Linked DNA regions of Mus musculus: regions 1 and 3 are each reported to be linked to region 2. The links are microRNA targets in miRTarBase. Many come from high-throughput screens and were not tested one by one. Region 2 holds a microRNA gene; each other region holds the end of a gene's coding sequence.
Evidence for each region. Region 2 holds the annotated microRNA mmu-miR-486a-5p (UCCUGUACUGAGCUGCCCCGAG, at 2,424-2,445, shown strand). A microRNA usually pairs through its seed, bases 2 to 8, with sites in the 3' UTR of a target mRNA and lowers its output. Matches are read on the target gene's strand: a 7mer-m8 pairs with bases 2 to 8, a 7mer-A1 pairs with bases 2 to 7 and ends in A, and an 8mer does both.

Region 1 (7,166 bases), not on the chromosome of region 2:
GCTGAAGTCATTTCCACTGAGTCACAGGAACCCAGTCTTGATGTAGCAGTGTGGAGTGCTGAACACAGAGAAGGTATAATCTGAGCTTTTTAACCTTCCAGTTCACTTCCTAAATTGAGACTGGCTCAGAAACTAGGGAGAGGAGAGGCCGTGGGGCTGTAGTGGCAAGGAGCAGTGGTAAATTACTAACTTTGAAGGGGGATTTTTAAAGCAAATGTTGGTTATAAGAAAAACTTATAATGACTTGCATAATGGGAAAAGAGCAAAGATATGATTTAAACCTGGTCTCTGCCAATTGTTCACTAGAGATTGTCCTTTAGCATGTGGCCTAGACTTCAGGGTTTTTGTTTCTTACCTTTTAAAATGGAAATAACCTAAGAACTGCAGCCATGCATGTAAAGGCTACTGATCAATCCTCACAGCACAGAGTGCTCTGTTAGCTTGCACCATTCTCTCGTCAGATGACTGTTGTAGAGCTAGTTGACCTTATTAATCAGTATTGTGTAGTGTCACTAATGTAAACATAGAGTTGTCTCAGAGATTGCAAGAGAAATGTTTTTGAAACATAAGCACTTGTAAATTGAATTTTGTGATTTAGTGAGTTCATTGCCTTCAGTTTGCACTTTTATAGAATTATACAGTGCTTATGGCTGATGTATTTTAAAAATAGCTTTCAACTCATCATTGTGTCTTTTGAGAGCACAGTAGTCAATCTTCAGGTCATCTGAAAAGCAGTGCCCTTCAGAATTCATTTTGTTATAGTACTTTCAAGTAAATCTGCAAAACAGAATGTCTTTGCTAATACAGAACTCATTCTAATTGTTCATTTTCATCTTAAACTTTCTTTCTCTAGGTGAAACTATACTTTACAAAAACAGTAGAGGAGCCATCAAATCCAGAGGCTAGCAGTTCAACTTCTGTGACTCCAGATGTTAGTGACAATGAACCTGATCATTATAGATATTCTGACACCACTGACTCTGATCCAGAGAATGAACCTTTTGATGAAGATCAGCATTCACAAATTACAAAAGTCTGATTTTTTTTTTCTTATCAAGAGGGATAAAATACCATGAAAAAAAAAAAACTTGAATAAACTGAAATGGACCTTTTTTTTTTTTTTTTTTTTTTAAATGGCAATAGGACATTGTGTCAGATTGCAGTTATAGGAACAATTCTCTTCTCCTGACCAATCTTGTTTTACCCTATACATCCACAGGGTTTTGACACTTGTTGTCCAGTTAAAAAAAGGTTGTGTAGCTGTGTCATGTATATACCTTTTTGTGTCAAAAGGACATTTAAAATTCAATTAGGATAAATAAAAGATGGCACTTTCCCATTTTATTCCAGTTTTATAAAAAGTGGAGACAGGCTGATGTGTATACGCAGGAGTTTTTCCTTTATTTTCTGTCACCAGCTGAAGTGGCTGAAGAGCTCTGATTCCCGGGTTCACGTCCTACCCCTTTGCACTTGTGGCAACAGATAAGTTTGCAGTTGGCTAAGGAAGTTTCTGCAGGGTTTTGTTAGATTCTAATGCATGCACTTGGGTTGGGAATGGAGGGAATGCTCAGAAAGGAATGTTTCTACCTGGGCTCTGGACCATACACCATCTCCAGCTCCTTAGATGCACCTTTCTTTAGCATGCTCCACTTACTAATCTGGACATCCGAGAGATTGGCTGCTGTCCTGCTGTTTGTTTGTGCATTTTAAAGAGCATATTGGTGCTAGACAAGGCAGCTAGAGTGAGTATATTTGTAGTGGGGTACAGGAATGAACCATCTACAGCATCTTAAGAATCCACAAAGGAAGGGATATAAAAAAAGTGGTCATAGATAGATAAAAGACACAGCAGCAATGACTTAACCATACAAATGTGGAGGCTTTCAACAAAGGATGGGCTGGAAACAGAAAATTTGACAATGATTTATTCAGTATGCTTTCTCAGTTGTAATGACTGCTCCATCTCCTATGTAATCAAGGCCAGTGCTAAGAGTCAGATGCTATTAGTCCCTACATCAGTCAACACCTTACCTTTATTTTTATTAATTTTCAATCATATACCTACTGTGGATGCTTCATGTGCTGGCTGCCAGTTTGTTTTTCTCCTTAAATATTTTATAATTCTTCACAGGAAATTTCAACTTGAGATTCAACAGTAAGCAGGTTTTGTTTTTTTTTTTTCCTAGAGATTGATGATGCGCGTCCTCAGTCCAGTGGCTGTCAGACGTTCAGCCCCTTTGACCTTACACATTCTATTACAATGAGTTTTGCAGTTTTGCACATTTTTTTTAAATGTCATTAACTGTTAGGGAATTTTACTTGAATACTGAATACATATAATGTGTATATTAAAAAAGTCATTGTTTGTGTTAAAAAAGAAATTAGAGTTGCAGTAAATTTACAGCACTGCACGAATAATAAGGCATTGAAGTTTTTCAGTAGAAATTGTCCTACAGATGCTTTATCGACTTGCTATTGGAAGAATAGATCTTCTTAAATGTGCAGTGTTGAGTCACTTCGTTATAGTGGTAGAGTTGGGATTAGGGCTTCAATTTTACTTCTTAAATATCATTCTATGTTTGATATGCCCAGACTGCATACAATTTAAAGCAAGAGTACAACTACTATCGTAATGGTAATGTGAAGATGCTATTACAAAGGATCTCCTCCCAACCCCTCGGGAATTTGGTGTCTTTCAAATTATATCTTGACCTTGACATTTGAATATCCAGCCATTATTAGATTTCTTAATGGTGTGAAGTCCCATTTTCAATAACTTATTGGTGCTGAAATTGTTCACTAGCTGTGGTCTGACCTAGTTAATTTACAAGTACAGATTGCATAGGACCCACTAGAGAAGCATTTATAGTTTGATGGTAAGTAGATTAGGCAGAACGCCATCTAAAATATTCTTAGAAAATAATGTTGATGTATTTTCCATACCTCATCAGTTTCACTCAACCAATAAAGTTTTTAAAATTGTAACAAAGCTCTTAGGATTTACACATTTATATTTAAACATTGATACATGAATATTGACTGACTGTTGATAAAGTCAGAGACAACTTTTCCTGAGATCTCACCATGGAAATCTGTACACCCCCTTGTCTTTCCTAAAAGCTGAAAGTGGCTGACTAAAATGCAAAGCAGCTGTTGATGTTTTGAAGATAGTGATAAACACTGTTCTTTGTTAGTTTTGGGCACAGCATGCTAAACTATAACTTGTATTGTTCCAATATGTAACACAGAGGGCCAGGTCATGAATAATGACATTACAATGGGCTGTTGCACTGTTAATATTTTTCCTTTGGAATGTGAAGGTCTGAATGAGGGTTTTGATTTTGAATGTTTCAGTGTTTTTGAGAAGCCTTGCTTACATTTTATGGTGTAGTCATTGGAAATGGAAAAATGGCATTATATATATATTATATATATATAAATATATATATTATACATACTCTCCTTACTTTATTTCAGTTACCATCCCCATAGAATTTGACAAGAATTGCTATGACTGAAAGGGTTTTGAGTCCTAATTCAAACTTTCTTTATGACAGTATTCACGATTAGCCTGAAGTGCATTCTGTAGGTGATCTCTCCCGTGTTTCTGGAATGCTTTCTTAGACTCTTGGATGTGCAGCAGCTTATGTGTCTGAAATGACTTGAAGGCATCACCTTTAAGAAGGCTTACAGTTGGGCCCCGTACATCCCAAGTCCTCTGTAATTCCTCTTGGACATTTTTGCCATAATTGTAAAAGGGTAGTTGAATTAAATAGCGTCACCATTCTTTGCTGTGGCACAGGTTATAAACTTAAGTGGAGTTTACCGGCAGCATCAAATGTTTCAGCTTTAAAAATAAAAGTAGGTTACAAGTTACATGTTTAGTTTTAGAAAATTTGTGCAATATGTTCATAACGATGGCTGTGGTTGCCACAAAGTGCCTCGTTTACCTTTAAATACTGTTAATGTGTCGTGCATGCAGACGGAAGGGGTGGATCTGTGCACTAAACGGGGGGCTTTTACTCTAGTATTCGGCAGAGTTGCCTTCTACCTGCCAGCTCAAAAGTTCGATCTGTTTTCATATAGAATATATATACTAAAACCATCCAGTCTGTAAAACAGCCTTACCCCGATTCAGCCTCTTCAGATACTCTTGTGCTGTGCAGCAGTGGCTCTGTGTGTAAATGCTATGCACTGAGGATACACAAATATGACGTGTACAGGATAATGCCTCATACCAATCAGATGTCCATTTGTTACTGTGTTTGTTAACAACCCTTTATCTCTTAGTGTTATAAACTCCACTTAAAACTGATTAAAGTCTCATTCTTGTCATTGTGTGGGTGTTTTATTAAATGAGAGTATTTATAATTCAAATTGCTTAAATCCATTAAAATGTTCAGTAATGGGCAGCCACATATGATTACAAAGTTCCTGTGCATTTTTCTATTTTTCCCCCTCCTTGCTATCCTTCCAAGCAAAGCATCTTTCTGTCATCTTGGTAGACACATACCTGTCTACTCATGGTTAAGAAGAGCACTTTAAGCCTTAGTCATCACTTAATAAGTTATTCCAGGCACAGTAAAAAGTTCAAGGTTCTTGGAAAACGGTGCTTATTTCTCTTCTTATAAGCCAGATGTCTGAAGATAGCCCTAACCCCAAGAACGGGCTTGATGTCTCAGGTCTGTTCTGTGGCTTTCTGTTTTTTTTAACACTGCAGTTGGCCATCAGCACATGGGAGGTTTCATCGGGACTTGTCCAGAGTAGTAGGCTCAAATATACTATCTCCTTTCTAATATTCTTAAAGGCTAAGGAGTCCTTTCAATATAACAGTAAGATAACTTGTGATGTTTTAGAAGTAAGCAGACCATTAATGTCAATGTGGAGTCTTAATGTTACATGAAGTTGATAGTTTCTCTGTGACCCATTTAAAAATACAAACCGAGTAGCATGCAATTATGTAAAGAAATATGAAGATTATATGTAGTCACACATTTTCTTTAGAATTCTTAGTTTGGTGAAAACTTGAATATAAAGGTATTTTGATTTATATGACATTTTGATGATATTTGAAAAAAAGGAATTTCCTGACATTTTGCTTTTAGATCATGTCCCCCATTGTGCTGTAATTTAAGCCAACTTGGTTCAGTGAATGCCATCACCATTTCCATTGAGAATTTAAAACTCACCAGTGTTTAACATGCAGGCTTCTGAGGGCTCCCGGAGAATCAGACCTTAAGCCCAGTTGATTTACTTCTAACGTGAAACTTCGAGTTCCTGTATACTTTGCTAGATAATTTGTGGTACATCTAAAGCTTAGTCTTAAGTGGCTTGTGTGTGGATTTTATTCAACATTCTTGTTGCTAGGGTAGAGAGAAATGTTGCTGAGTAGAAACAAGAGTACCCAGTTCAATGTGGTACAGAGAGCAGTCCCTAAAATCTGTACACAGTGTAATGGACCACTTTAGGAGTCAAGAGGCTGATTTTTCCTATGAAATTACATTGCAACAGGAAGCCTTCTAGTATAGTTCCTTTTACTGTTAGAATATGTTTTTATGCATACGCTATAGCTGCTTTCCCATCTTCCAACAACAGGTATCAGGATGTAAGCAAGCTTTAAACAGTGTGAAGATGGCAGGATAGTGTCATCGGTAACAGTCCTCTGACTCTAAATGTAGTTGCTCTGTAACACTTTGTGAATATAACATCACAATTCTCATGTCCTTGGGGGGGGGGGGCATACCCAGTATTAGTATGTTTTAGTGACTAAGCAATCATTTTTCTGTTTACTCATGTACATTTTCTCTTTAAAACTAAAACCTGTACTGTGTATGTCTCCAAAGCCTTTTAGCTTAGTTTTTAGGAAATGAACACTGAATGGATCACTTTTTAGTGTAGCAGGTATGGGATATGTGCATTATAGAGAGACCTTGTCAGCTCTCTGGGCCTATTTGAATGTTTATTGTTGGTGTGAGGATGGTAGGGGAATCAGTAAATACAAGTTACGTTGGTTTAGCAGAGCAAGCTCAGTGTGGGTATTTCTCTTTGAAGCGTGGTGCGTGACGCACTGTGAGTAGAGAATTTGGTCACCCTTTGAGTCCTCTTGCATTTTGCAAACTTGCTCAGCAAATGCGTACCTACCTTGCCCCCTAGGTAAAAGCAGGAACTACTACTGATTTATCTGTCACTCAGCTGTCTTTATATGTGTGCTTCTGTGACTTGTATCACACAAGAATCTTAAAGATTTCACAAATTGTTACCTTTTAGCTCTGAATGTTGAGTATTCTGGTGGGCTAACAACAAGACAAACTCTTGACAGTCATTTGAGAATTTTCATGAAACATTTAGCTGAAAACATTTTATAATTTATGAAAAAAATGTGTTACCTTAAACTTTTACATATGTGGGAGACATTAACTGCCATATTTGAGCATACTGAATTTTAAATTTAAAATAAAGCTGCATATTTTTAAATGAAATGTTTAACAAGGATTCATATTTTTTGTTTTTTAAGATTAAAAATAATTTATGTCTTCTCATGTGGAACCTCATCTGTCACAATGGTTAGATTATACAGAATGGAGCAAGGCTTGTAGTGGTTTAGCTTACAGTAAAATTCTTAATGTTTAGATGTGTTTACTTACTGGCTGTTATGTATACTTTTGAGATTTTCCACCTGTTCTGTGTAGTTTTCTAAATGATACTCCTACTTAAAAACAGCATTTTAGTATCTATTTTCTGTCTCCATTAAATGGTCCTCATTTTCTATTGAGTTTGGAAGTGTGCACATTGTGTGTGTGTGTGTGTGTGTGTGTGTGCACACGTGTGCGCGCCCGTGCGTGTGTCTATTTGTGGAGTTTGTATGGGAGAATTAGTTTTGAAAGTGCTAGAATAGAGATGAAATTTGGTTCAAGTAAAATTTTCCCACTGGGATTTTACAGTTTATTGTAATAAAATGTTAATTTTGGATGACCTTGAATATTAATGAATTTGTTAGCCTCTTGATGTGTGCATTAATGAGATATATCAAAGTTGTATATTAAACCAAAGTTGGAGTTGTGGAAGTGTTTTTATGAAGTTCCGTTTGGCTACCAATGGACATAAGACTAGAAATACCTTCCTGTGGAGAATATTTTTCCTTTAAACAATTAAAAAGGTTCATTATT
Region 2 (7,000 bases):
TTCCAGGAGAGCAGGTGACGGAGGAACAATTCACAGATGAACAGGGCAACATTGTTACCAAGAAGGTAAGAGCAGAGCCTCTGCATTGAGGAGAAACTGGGTGAGACTAAAGAAGAAAAGTGGAGGGGTTCAGCTTAGAGCAGCTTCTTACTGCTGCCCAAACAGGGTGGGCAGGCTGTTCCTCCCCCCCACCTCAGAGCTTTCGGGGTAACTCAGGAGAGCTGAGACCTCTGGGTCCTCTACAATCTGAGGGCCTTGTCACCTTAAAGCTTAACTCAACATGAAGAGGTCCAGCTGCCCATTTCCAGCTCCCATGAAACACACAGCCCTAGTCCTGTGAAGCCTGGCCATAGAAGGAGCTGTTAGAAAACAGGGACCTGTTCTTGGGGGCTCCCTTAGAAGGGCTGTAAGAACTCATCAAACTGGCAGCAGACCTCCACATGATAAGCTTGTGCTGCTTGGCGGACATTGCCCCATGAGGCAATGGGAGAGAGCAGGACATGGCGCGTGCGCGCCTGTGCCACTCACTAGGACCACTGTTCACATAAGGAATGATGGCCCCTGTCTGTCCTTGCCCCTCCCTAAAGGCCTAAGCCATGGTTTATGTTCACCTCCCATTCTGGATAAATGGACACAGAGAAGGTGAGTAGAGCAGACGCACATGGATAGAAGGGTTGCCTGCCTCTGTCCTTAGGCACTGTAGAGGCACGATAGTCAGACCGAACTTCCATCCATTCCAAGGAACAGAGTGGGATGGCGGAGGGCTGAGGCAGCGCTGCGCGTGCCCAAGCCAATGTTTGCCGAAGCCCTGCCAGCCGTGCTCCCCAGTCCAAGCCCCACCGACATTCCCCATAGATGACAGCAGAGAAAGGCTTCTTCTTGGCTCCGGGGGACAGGAAGCCATGGCCTCTCCTCCTGGTGCCTCTGCTGGAGCCCTGTTCTTCTCAAATGTTGTCCTGACGACTTGACCATCTCTCCTTCTCTTCCCCTCTCTTTCCAGATCATTCGCAAAGTCGTCCGGCAGGTAGACTCGTCTGGTGCCATCGACACCCAGCAGCACGAGGAGGTGATTGTCGAGGGTCCCCTGGCAGACCCTGGGGATCTGGAAGCAGATATTGAGTCCTTTATGAAACTTACTAAGGTACCAAGGCACTGCAGGCCCCTGGAGGCCGCAGCAAGTTCACCTCCGCCTCACCTCTACTTTGCTCCAGGTTGCAATGCTGCCCCTGGCTACCTTTCTGGCGGACAGATGGTGTTCCCACCTCCTCCTTCTCCTCCTCCTCCTCCTCCTCCTCCTCCTCCTCCTCCTCCTCCTCCTCCTCCTCCTCCTCCTCCTCCTACTCCTCTCTGTCCTGACCCTTCTCACTTCCTGCCCGAGCTTGCTCATCTGCCTGTGTGATTTCCTACTTTCTGTCTCTGATGCTGTCTCCAGGTGGAGCTAAGAGGGAGTGGACTCCAGCCGGACCTGATAGAGGGCAGGAAGGGGGCTCAGATAGTGAAGCGGGCCAGCCTGAAAAGGGGCAAGCAGTGACCTCTCCTCAAGTAGCCCCTTGGGAGGTAACAGTGGCTTTCTCGTCCTTGCTGGCATGGTCCTTGATGAGGTAGCTGCTTGCTGCTCCCAACCCACCCCATCCTTGCACTACTAGCTCAGTTCAGAGTTAAAACCAGACTCTCAGAATCCCACTCCTCAAACTAGCCACTGTCTCTGCCCCTCCACGTCCTCTTCAGACCTGTGCCTCTCTGTTGACACCAGTCTGCTGGAGAGTACACAAAATCAGGGGCTTGGGTTTATTTTGCTTATTTATATTTTCTTTTGTCTTTTTTGGCTGTGTTAGGGGGGTGGGACCAGAGATAGGCATTCTGAGCCACACCTTCAGTCCCTGTGCAATTTAGTTATAAACAGAGTCTCTCTATATAGCCCTGGCTGTCCTGGAACTTGCTAAATAGACCAGGCTGGCCTTGAACCCACAGAGATCCAGCTGCCTCTGTACTGGAATTAAAGGCATGCAGCACCATGCCTGACTGTACCAGTATAATGTTAAAATAGTGCTTTGAAGTAGTGCTCAAAACACAGTCTGAGCCTATCTCACTACACATGGTCAGAAAGCACGCCAGACATAAACCTTAAGGCTCACTGGAGTCCTAACCTGCCATAGCTTTAATTCGATTACTGTTCTGAGAACAAGGCTGCTCGCTTGATGTCTGAGAAGGAACTAAGTTAGCAGACCCAAGGCATAGGTAGAATCTTCCCTGGAAGTGAGGAAGGTCTTCATGGCTAACGGCTGTACTAGTGTGTGAGGGGTGTGCGTCAGGGCGGGGGCCAAGGATGGGTGGGCCAGGCTACGCAACGAAGATCTTCAGCAGGCTGCAGTGCCCAAGAGCCAGCCTCAGCAGCCAGCTCTGATCTCGCCCTCCCTGAGGGGTCCTGTACTGAGCTGCCCCGAGGTCCTTCACTGTGCTCAGCTCGGGGCAGCTCAGTACAGGATGCGTCAGGGTGGGAGACAACGGGGAACAAGCCAGCATCACAGCCTCTGCCCATGCACAGCACTAACTGGGTTATTGCCCCTTCCCCCACCCACCCCCACCCCTGAACTCTCAGGGCCCAGCTCCAGAGCCGAGCAGCAGGCAGTCACTGGTTTTCTGCCTTCTGCAAAAAGCAGGGCCCGCGCAGCCTCCTGGGCCGGCAGAAGTGCTGACTTGATGCTTCCCAACATATCTCAGCACTTGGACAATATGAGGCTGGGCAGAGCCCGATAGGAGAGTAAAATTAGCCCTGACTCCTCAGCAGCTGTAAGGAGGTCACAGTGTTAACCCCAGCACTGCCAGGAGGGTCCTGCATGTCTGCTGATTTAAAGGCCAAGACTCGCTCTTGATCCCGGCTGGGAAACAACCCAAAGGTTCGAGTCATTTTTAAAGGAGGGAGGGAGGGAGAATGTCTTCTTCAGCCCTATCTTTCTTACAGTGGCAGCCGGACTTGCACTTGTGTTTGTTGGCTGAGACTTTATCCAGGGCCTCAATGGGAGGCAGCAACGGCAAGGCAGCTGAAGGACAGGGCAGAAGTAGAGTGTTTCATTAATTTACTGTACCCGGCATGCCCCTGCCCCAACACCCCCCCACACACACACACACTACACACATACACACACACACACACACAACACACTACATATACACACACTACACACACACAACACAACACACACACATACACATACTAAATACACAACACAACACACATACACACACACAGGCACAACACACTTACACACACACACACACACACACACCACACACACACTACATATACACACACTACACACACACAACACAACACACATACTAAATACATAACACAACACACATACACACACACATACACACACAGGCACAACACACTTACATACACACACACATACACTCTCTCACATACACACTACAGAGAGAGAGAAAGGGAGAAAGGGAAGGAGGGGGATATTTGCCACCAGACCTCATGAGTTTAGGAGTCAGGAATTCTGAGCAGCCTGGTTTGGACAGTACTTAGCCTCTGCCAACAAAAGACAGAGGGTGGGTGACTGGGGTAGTGACTGGGCAGAAGAGCGTGCAGTGGCAGGCTCCTGCCCAGGTCTGACCAGGTTGTGGAGCAGCAAGAGTGGCCCATCCTCAGTAAGAAGTTACCAAAGGGCTTCAGGCTCCGTCCCCACCACCACTGCCCCCAACCCCCGCCCCACAGGCAGTCCAGCCGATCCTTGTCATTCCTCTTCCGATTTGCCTACGCCCTAAACCTTTCTTGAAATCCAAAAATGAGCACCCAGTCCTTCCGTGCTCAGTCATTCCCAGACACACAGACAAAGGTGACCACAAAGTGATGGGCATGTGCCGTCCCCAGCTCCACCTTTTCCTGGGTCTCATGCTGCCCTTTATTTTTAATCTATTTAACGACACAGTGCATTTCCAAGTTCTTCATCGTTTGTTTCACTGTTTGTGTGGACGTTCTGTCTGTCCGGGGAAGATGAGTTCTAAGTCTTCCTGAGGCACTGTGTTGATGGCAATGGGGTGAGCACGAGTGAATGGCCTGCATACATGCGATGTGCCACCCTCAAAAAGAAATACACACGCAGCATGCTGATGGAGTCGCTGGCTGAGGAAAGCATGACCTTGCATGTCCCTTGGGAGCGGTGATTCAGTATTCGCTAATCCCACGCTCATACTTTATAGACCAGGACTACTGTGAATAATGAAAAGCATCTTATATGTTCCAAGTGTAAAAACTAGCCTTGGAGTCCAGATTCAAGACTTGGCTCCCCCATTCTGGTCCCAAATGGTATGACCTTAAGTCACTCAACTATCCCCAGCTTTGTACGCCTCAAGGAAAGATGGAGATAGTCTCTCCTGGATATGTGTTACTTATCAATTTAAAAAATGCGTGCAGAACAGGGTGTGGCCCAGCGGCAGAGTGCATGCTCAGCCTGCCTGAAACCCCAGGTTCCAGCCCCAGCGTGGGTGTGGCAGGGGAGTGGGGGCGCAAATAGAAACTATGAGAGGTGTCGTGTCGTGAGGAGTAAAGGTGTATACACTCTGGCGTCCCATCAGTGACAGGTGTTGTTTGTAGTGTGACTCAGGGCAAGTCAATTGACTTTCCTACGCCTCAGCGTTTCCACCCACGCGTCGCAATAATGCCAGCACGTTCCTTGTGGAACTGCTGTACGGTAGCAGATGCTCTTATTTTTGAGGAAGGGCTTTACAGAGTGCGAGGGTCGACAGTGCTCTTTCTCAGGGCGTAGTCCATATCCTGCTAAGAAGATACAGACCCCCGGGGCCGGGGCATAGAAGCTTGCAGGCCTGCGAGAGACTGAGCTGCTGTTCTCGGCTGCAGTTCTGCTCAGTTAAAACCCAGGATGTCAGTATCCGTCACTATGCCGTCCCTGGGATTAGATGCATGGTGAAAGTCGAGTTGTTATGCCGGATTTTGACCCTTCTCCTCAAACTCCTCTCACGTCGTCTGGCATAGTACAAGAATCATATCTAAAAGCAGGCTAAAGTGGAGGATGAGGAGCATTTGTTTAGAGGACTCTACACTCTGGTGAGCAAGGCATTGCTGAGCTTTGTTCTGATCCTGCCAGTCTCCCCTTGCACTGGAAAGTCCTAGAGTGAAGAAGCCAGAAAATTGCTGTTTTCTGTCTGAGAGGTCAAGGCTCATTGGCACTGGCGGGTCTTGTACTGTGCCTGAGTGTTAAGGTACCAGGACTGCTGGGAAAACTGGATGCAGCGAGCAGCTAAGGGCACTGGAGCATCGGCTATGGTGCAGCCCTGGGGGTACCAGGAGTCTGGCTGGGAAGGGTACTAGTTCTTGATACCCTCTGTGTGTGCATGGCTGTTCCCTCCAGGACTCTCCCAGGAGCTGAGGAAGGAGGAGCCCTGTGATTATATGCATGTTGAAAGTCTGTTTTCCTTTTAGAGAACACTTTCCACACAAACAGTGTGCTTCAGAGACTTCCATTAGTTCTGACGATAGACTGTTCTGAAAAATCTAGCGTTTCAGTGGGAGGAAGTAGGAAGGCATGTTTTGTTTCGCTTTGTTTTAAGCTAGAATCAGTTATCCTATGCAGCCACTTGAAGGAGGACATCAGAGTAGGAAGCGAAGGGTCACTGGTGAGAGCCACGGGCATAGATGTGGGGGCAGGTGCCCGAGCATGGGGAGAAAACGAGGATCCTGGCTGCGAAGGCGAAGGGGCTCTGAGCACTTTGGGGTGTCATCTCCTAAGCTTTGAGAGGACTGGCCTTTTTCAGAGAGTGGCTTAGGGAGGAGGCCCGGTGGCACTGATGGCATGGAGAAATCCTGGCTGTAGCCTGAAGGCTCGTGTTACTCCACCCCTGCGCCACCAGCTGCTCCAGCTGGACCTGTGTCTGTTCCACTTAGGTCTTAGCCTACCACTCACCTCTAAAAAGGGGGGGAGGGGGTGCTTACTCCGGAGTGATCTCTGAAGCTTGAGCCCTCTCAAGGACCTGGCCGTAAGCAGGTGGGAACTCAGCCTGTGTATCTAGAATCTCGGCTTTCATGTTGTCTCTCTGAGGAATGCTTAATTCTGGGGTAGGCACTGTAGGGAATTTGGAGAAGGGGCCCCCACCCTCCAGTGCTCATAATCCAGCCAGAGCAACTGCGAAGCTGGTTAGAAAAATAAATAAACAACAAGTTAGGTGCAGCACTTTCCAAGAGCCAGATACTCACAAGTTAAGTCCAGCATGCTCCCTGGATGCTCCCTGACCCCTCCGTCCTCCACGGACCCGTCTCAGCACATGCACACATCACAGTGATGGGTCCTACTGCGGCCCCATCTCACAAGCAGGGCAAACAGAGCTGAAGAGCAGCCGAGTACGTTTGACCAAAGCTAGGCAGCCAGTAAAGACAGAAGCAGGGTTCGAACCTGAACAGTCTAGCTTCAGAATTCCTGCTCTTGACCCCTCTGCCCCTTATGTGTCTCTTAGCCAATGGGTAGTCGTGGGAAAGGACAGCCTGAAGTGAAGGGCAAGTCTGAGGCAGGAACAGAAGTTGAGGAGAGAAGATGGCAGCGTTGGGGAGGGGGCATATGAGCACACAGCCTAGCAATAGGACTAGAGGAGAAGGTAGCCTAGGAAGGGCAGAATCTCATCTCTCAAATGGCAGCTCTCTTCTGCCCAGCAAGAATGCCTGACTTTTAATCTTCACAGCTGCAGGCAAAACATTTGGCATTGTCCCCCACATACCCCCGAGGGAACCATGGAGATGAGTCATGTTGGTTGTGCTCAATATACCCACGGCTCTGTCACCTGTAGAGCTTGGGACAGCTCTATGCCTGGGAACAGCTCTGCCTCAGAATGACTTCCAACCTTTACGCCTCTTCCCAGAGCACCGTCAACTCTCTTCATCTCAGTGGCCTTCCCAGCCAGGCATGGTAGATCACATCTGTCACCCCATCACTCAGGATGCTGAGACTGGAGGATTGCCATGAAGTCAGAGCCAATC
Region 3 (7,166 bases), not on the chromosome of region 2:
TAATTTCGCAGGCCCCACATTCACTCAGACAACTCTAGGTCATCGTCTGAAAGATTCGATGAGACCCTTGAGGCCCTGAGAGCAGCTGTTCTCAGGATCAACTCGACACGAGTGGACCTGTCACTGACAGAGGGCCTCTCCTCCTGGATTTCATCTGCATTTTCTTATTTTAAGGAATGGGTGGGGGTAGGTTTATTTGGTGTTGCCACCTGCTGTGGACTTGTGTTTATGCTCTGGTTGGTTTGTAAGCTCAGAACCCAACAAAACCGTGACAAGATCGTTATCACTCTTGCACTTGTGCATAAGGCTTGCTTACTAGTTAGGCACAGTGGAAGCCAGCGCCATCTTATAATGGCGATTGCTCATGGCACGCACGAGATTGCTCGAGGCACGGCTCTCCACACTGCCCAAGAATCCTCCATTCGATCTCCAAGAGATTTTCCAAGGCAGTGAGATCTTCCTGTGACCCCGAGTCTCTGGGATGAAACACAGAGGCTATGACCTGTGTCCTCAGCATGGAGTGTCTGAATGTCTACTGCACACTGGACTGAGGATCCAGAAGGTGGGTACAGGCATCCAGCCCAAGAAGTGCTGAGGGATGAACGGCAGCGTCCTCCTGTCTACTGAGCCCTCGCCTCAGTCATTAGATCTTCTGTGTGGGCTTAGAAACATGTGTGTTGGTTCTACAAGGCCAGCTGTTGTCACCAACCCAAGGGTGCCTAGACATCACATTCCATAAATGACCTTTACATCTGTGCTGCTCATGCTCACACCCTGTTGGGATCCTGTTAAAGGACAGGCAGTGACTGGCTCGGGGATCCACAGGTAGCTTCCAGTTGAGATTGAACCAGCAATTGTCTGCTCTCGGCTCTGAAATAAAACACTTGCATCGATGTCAAACCCACCTTCCTGCAGTACGTGGGAAGTTGGTATGAGATCAATGTCATTAGAAGCCTCAGAGGCCAACAACACAGGAGATGGGGGCCACAGAACTGCTGCTAGCTGTGTTTATTATATGTCCATAATCAGGCTGGGCCTGATATAGCCTATCCTTTTGGGTTTAGACCCTGTAGGTTAGCAGATGGACCTTGGTCCTGACCCCGACTCACATAGATGGGGTCAGCTCAAGGGAGCAAAAAGCCAGCAGATCCTCAAAGGGAGGTGGAGGAAAGCTAAGGTGAGGGCTATGTAATACTGGGTACACATAGTACTGGGTACGTAGTACTGGGCGTTCTGGTTGCTCCAGGCTTAGAATGTTCAGACTGCAGGTAGACAGAGATGGCAAGAGTCCTTTCATGGTGCTAGAATGGAGCGGAGGTAAGAACGCAGTACATCAAAACTACCCCAGGGCAGTCACCATCCCCGCACTCAGATATTAGTTTTTAAATGTTATTATTTTTTGTAAGATTTTATTTATGTATGTGAGTACACTGTTGCTGTCCTTAGACACATCAGAAGAGGGCAACAGATCCCATTACAGATGGTTGTGAGCCACCATGTGGTTGCTGGGAATTGAACGCAGGACCTCTGGAAGAACAGTCAGTGTTCCTAACCGCTGAGCCGTCTCTCCAGCCCTGGATACACTTTGGGAAGCCTGTGTATGGAGGTCAGAGGAAACTTCAGGGTTTGGCTCTCCTGCGGACCGCAGGGTCCACGAACTGAACCCAGGCCTTGTGCGGCAAAGGTTTTTCCCTAAGCTACCTTGCCAGGGCACTGCTGTTACATTTTTCAAAATTAGCTGTGATTTGAGAGTGCCCCACTTTGTAACTCAGGCTAGCCTGGCATTCATTATGCAAGTCCACACCTGCCTTAAACTAACGGCAAATTCCTGTATTAGCCTCTGGGTTCCCAAGATTATAGTTTCACTTTTTGTTATTATTTTTATTTTATGTACATTGGTGGTTTGCCTACATGTATGTCTGCGTAAGGATATCCAATCCCCTAAAACTGGAATTACAGACAACTGTGAGCTGCCAATGTGGGTGCTGGGAATTGAACTCAGGTCCTTTGGAAAAGCAGCCAGTGTGTATAACCACTGAGCCATCTTTCCAGCCCTACTGTTTTTTTGTTTTTTGTTTTGTTTTGTTTGTTTGTTTGTTTGTTTTGGGGGGGTGTCTTGCTGTGCACCACTGGCTGATCTGGAGAATGCATCAATCGTTCTTCCTCTGTCTCCCAAGTGCTGGTATTGCAAGTGTGTGCCCCCATACCTGGCTTGGCGATTTAAAGATAATTTGAATATAATTTTTTCAAGGTCTTTGATAGCCAACCTACAGTATGTTCCCAAAAGCAAAACATGTAAATAGGCAGTTATGAACACCGTGACCCATAAAACAGACATCAGAAAAAACAAAAACCCAAACTCAAACCCTGGCAGTCAGACACAGCAGTACACAGGTGCACACACACACACACACACACACACACACACACACACACACACACACACACGTACAATGCACATACAGTCTGGGGTACAAAAGTGACTGTTCAGAGCAAGATGAATGGATCAGTAAGGGGGGGAGAATACGTGTCACATAAGCTTGACCACGTGACTTCAAATACCCAGAATCCACGTAAAGCTGGTGTGGTGTTGTTTGTCCATAACCGCAGTGTTCCCTCAAATGTGAGGTGGAGGGGACAGAAACCCAAGAAGTCTCTGGAACAACTAGCCTGGCATATGTGTGAGACAGTAAGAGACTATTTCAAACAAGGTGAGAGTTAAGGACCAACAACCAAGGTTGTCATCTAATCTTTACGCATGGCAGGCACATGTGCTCGCATACTCACAAACACAGGAGCAAAGGTATGGGCACACACACACACGTACAACAAAGACTTAAAAAAATGCTTCATTAGACTTACCAAGGTCATAATTTTTATTATACTCTGAATAAGGCTGATATTTAAAGAGCAGAGGAAATGCCTATACAAAAGGTTTATAGAACACTCATTTACATACTGGATATATATTCTTTACAATATAGAATAGTGAAAACTGCGCTAATAGATAAGACAGATATGGCGGCATTACAATGTCTTTGACACTGAAGATAAATGCAGTGTGGCTTTTAACATGGATACAGCCCAACACTGGAAACTATAAGACCGTTAATGAGAAGGTTAATGGGACCCTGGCTATCTATTGGAAGTGGTGGGACATCATTGAATTTACTCATAGAATAATGTACTAACTTGTGCCCAACCGATGGCCTTGTAGCAAAAGCCTGGGCAATACTCCTTTCGCAGTGTTTCTGAGCACACGGTATAGTCTATGATACTGTTCTTGTTCTGTTCAATACACGCGTCACACACAGAAGACAGAGCCTTGCCCTACCAGCTGTTGTAGACAGTTGTAGAGCTGTCTTCCTGTGTTTCCTCAGATCAGATCCATTGATACCCTTGACTACTTTTATCTTGAGTAAAAATCATACCTCACCGGTCAGTTTTGAAAGCACATTCGTGTGGCTTCTTGGATGCATTCCATGCCAACCTTTGTGGCATTCAATTCACCGGAAAGCTGGGCTTCAGCAGAGCCCAGCTGATTTCTAATTAGGCCCTCTCCCCCCACCCCCACCCCCCTCCAGCGGGAGGAAAAGAGTGCGGGGCTGTGATCTCTGGGCCACATCTGCATATAAACTTATAATCATAGGATGTGATACTTCTTAGAGCACAAACTTCAGCCCCACCCCTGCCCCCATCTGGAGTTTAGCTGCATATGAGTAACTGGAACACTAGAAGCCTCTGTGGAAGACATGGGGCCTCTAGGGAATGGTGGCACATTCCCTCTAACAGGCACATCAGAGTGTCCACGAAGGAGGTCCTTAAAGACCAAGGCAAACATTTGGCACAGAAATGAGGCACTTGCTTTTGGTGCATCAATAGGAGCTAAAAAGTGGAATAGTCCACCTGTATACACACAGACATACATGAGCAAAAAGTGGAATGGTCCACCTGTATACACACAGACATACATGAGCAAAAAGTGGAATGGTCCACCTGTATACACACAGACATACACATGAGCAAAAATGGAATAGTCCACCTGTACACACACACACACACACACACACACACACACACACACACACTCATCCTGACAGTTGATCCCAATTCTACACATAGTTACATCTCTGCCCCTTTTGAAACAGAATTCACCACAAAAATCCCAGCTTAACAACTGTAGCCTGTCCTGGACGTGAAATGTGGAAGCTAGGTCTGGATTTTAGAAGGCAAAGAGTGGGAATTTCAGGCCAGGCCAGGAATTCTCAGAGCCTTCCTGGGGTAGAAGGTTCTGACTGAGGAGACCCTGGCTTTGTCTCCACGGAGCCGGAGCCCTCCTCCACCTCCACCCTGGGAAGGACGGGCTTACCGCATTCTTCCGAATCTCTGGGCACAGGAAGCCTGCAGCAGGGGGATGCCCATCTTAGCAAGAACCATCACACCTGACTCAGTAACTAAGATGACTCAGCAAATCAAACGTAGCCGTGAGTGCTGGAGTTCTTGATCTTTCCCTTCATCCCTTCTCCCCCTCTGGACCCCACAGAAGTTCCCCTCGGAAGCTGCAGGTACCACAGGAGCATCACGGTAAAAGGCCACGTGTGCTTTAGATGACGCAGACCTCTACATGGCCCAGCCAGTCCTGCAGAAGAGGCTGAGACTGACGTCAGTGTCTTAGTCTTCCACGTCTCCCAGACGTTTCCATCAGGAACAAAACCATCTGCATCTGGACAAGACATGTTGCTGCGCCAGGCAGAGGGTAGGGAGGCTGCTTAAGGCAAATCCATTTGGCAGTACTACAGGAGAAGGATCTCGTGGCATCACCCTGAGACCACTGTTCCCCTTCCAGCTGACGGGCCAGCTGTCTCTGGTGTGTCTACAAGGGGACAAGCCTCCTAGTAATCACAGCTTAGTCGGCTGCAGCATTTGACATGGGTACGGTATGGCAATGGCAAGCGGTTATAAATAATTTGGCATAAGTAAAATATATATTATATAAAATGGCATTTTTGATTCCATCTTCTCATTTTCCTCTCCAGGTCCTCTAGGCTCTCCACAGCCCAGGTGACAACCTGAGAGCAGAATCACAGAGTCCTTACCCCCCAGCAGTGGCTCTCAGACCCCACGTGGTCCTCCCTGACCCCAGAGGCTTTCTCCACTGCCCTCACCTCACATCCCTTCCGCTGCCCCTGACTTAGGTCCCCGCCATGTTCCAACCTGCTCAGACCTTCACTGACCATGCATCTCCTCCTCAGTTCCATCACTGATGTAGAAAGACAAGATGAGGGAGCATTTCTGCTGACAAGTGGGTGCCATGGCTACTCAGTCCCTGTCAAGCAGGACAGATGCTCTTCCTCCACACAGATGCTAATGAGCCAGGGACTGGGGACAGCCTTGTCTTCCATGCTCCCTCCTTGTACAGCCCTTGTCCTTGGGGCCCTGATGAGGCATTTCCCGGGCCAAGATCCATCCACTCAAAATGCGCCTGACTATATAGGTGTGTCGGAAGAGCAGCTTCTTTAAGGCCAGTCAGTGGTGACATTGTTTGTTCTTGGTTTGAAGAGTTGTCATATTCTTCTCCTCTTGTTGAGTCTGGAATGTGAAGATTGTCAATCTGGTACGAATGGGGGCCCTGCCTCACCCCACTGCCATGTTGAGGGCCCTATGAGGCATCTGGCAGGTTTGGCTAGGAAGGGCTCAGATCTTCTTAGGGGAGCCAATCATGACCTTTGACACAAAGTTGACAATGGCACTGGCAGGTTGCTCGGGGTCATGCTCTGCAAACAGGTGGCATACGTTGTCTGTAGCACTGCCCTGTTTCCGGGCCACAAATCCAAAGACTCTGCAAGAGACAAGTCTAGTCAGAGGAGCCAGTACCGTGTGCAGCAAGCACCATGCATGCATGCAGGCTTTCTCTTCCTCATGATAGCAACCTGGGAACAGTACAGACTGCCCCTGCAGGTTACGATGTGCCAAGCACTAGCTTAGAGACCTGTCTACTACCTGACCACTGAGCCTAGAAGGATGCTTGAATCAAAACTGAGGCTCTGCTTGCTCCTTAGCACCTCTGCTGGAGGTCTAGGGGTCCTCCAGACACCTTCTATGGAGTCCTGAGCTCCAGCTGGCTATGTAAAATCAGGGTCTCCCATGGAAGGTCAGGACTTTAGGCCTCCAGGAAAACCCTAGAAGCTCCCAGCCCAGTCCAGACTAGATACCCCAAACAAGAAAGCTAACATGCCAAGAACTCATCTCAGGCCTGTGCAACTGTGATCGCTTCCGAAGTTGTGGCTGTCTACTACTACTACTGACCTGTTCTCCAGAGCAGGAGAAACTCTGAAATGGGCCTGCCGGGAAGGAGGCACCTGATGAACATGTGCGATCAGCAGTGTGGACCATGTAAAAGGAGCTAGTCTGACAGCCACAGACAGTGAAGCCTCTGTGCGTGGGGAGGGCGAGGATCAGGCTCCTCTGACCACCTTGATAGCAGTGCAAAGCAGAGGGAACAAGAACTCGCTGGCCAAAGGAACAAAGCAGGCTCCCTCCAGATTGGGAAATGTTGCCAAAGGGCTTCACCTCTGCCCACACAAGCAGATCTGGGGTTTTCAGCAGTACCAGCACCTTCTTAAATGGCTGGACTAAGAAATCTGTCTCAGTGTGTAAAGAACACTACAGATACAATATAGACAGGGCTCCTCCAGCCCACGACAATGGACAAGCCAACACCGTCTAGGTGTGGGCTCTGATATCAGAACACTTCTTACTCTCTAATTTTCTACTTTCAGTTAAGTCAAACAAATGATCCCACCGACAATGACTGCTTTGCTTTGTCTGATCTTTTAAATAAGTCCTTCTTTGCAAATCTAGAAGTGAGGTCAGCTGTGCACTGTGATTTTCAAATAGAGAAAGGCTGGCAACTTACTTAGAAGAAGGGCCATCTTTGATCCACCTTGAGAATTGAAGGGGAGAAGAATTTTACGTTAGCTTTTTTTTTTTTAAATTAAAGGATAAAAGAGGTATACTTTTCAGTTATAAGAATGCAAAACTCTTACTTCCTGTCTTGTGGATCCAAAGCACAGAAAATCACACTGCTGACCGGGTAATGCCTCCGGAAGAAGAGCCTGTTGGGTGGGTAGAGAGAGGGTCGTTCCTTTCCTGGAAGTTTAGAGTAA

Region 1: the mRNA of Pten is a reported target of mmu-miR-486a-5p. Seed matches in the 3' UTR shown: 8mer at 1,763-1,770 and 8mer at 4,218-4,225.
Region 3: the mRNA of Tns3 is a reported target of mmu-miR-486a-5p. Seed matches in the 3' UTR shown: 7mer-m8 at 4,042-4,048.

Annotation. Positions count from the first base shown.
Region 1 is chr19:32,818,990-32,826,155 of GRCm38, forward strand. Pten (phosphatase and tensin homolog) reads left to right here. Exons shown (of 9, transcript NM_008960.2): 9 at 854-7,166. The coding sequence ends at 1,039. Among named protein-coding and RNA genes, the nearest start is that of Pten, 65 kb to the left of the region's middle.
Region 2 is chr8:23,140,164-23,147,163 of GRCm38, forward strand. Mir486 (microRNA 486) reads left to right here and starts at 2,392; the gene lies at 2,392-2,519. It overlaps Ank1 (ankyrin 1, erythroid), which reads left to right. Exons shown (of 44, transcript NM_001110783.3): 41 at 1-65; 42 at 1,001-1,066; 43 at 1,433-1,557. The coding sequence ends at 1,531. Gm15816 (predicted gene 15816) reads right to left here. Exons shown (of 6, transcript NR_169137.1): 3 at 2,961-3,041; 4 at 662-1,102; 5 at 1-80. Mir3107 (microRNA 3107) reads right to left here and starts at 2,499; the gene lies at 2,410-2,499.
Region 3 is chr11:8,428,800-8,435,965 of GRCm38, forward strand. Tns3 (tensin 3) reads right to left here. Exons shown (of 31, transcript NM_001083587.1): 29 at 7,047-7,115; 30 at 6,917-6,943; 31 at 2,853-5,839. The coding sequence ends at 5,695. Among named protein-coding and RNA genes, the nearest start is that of Tns3, 230 kb to the right of the region's middle.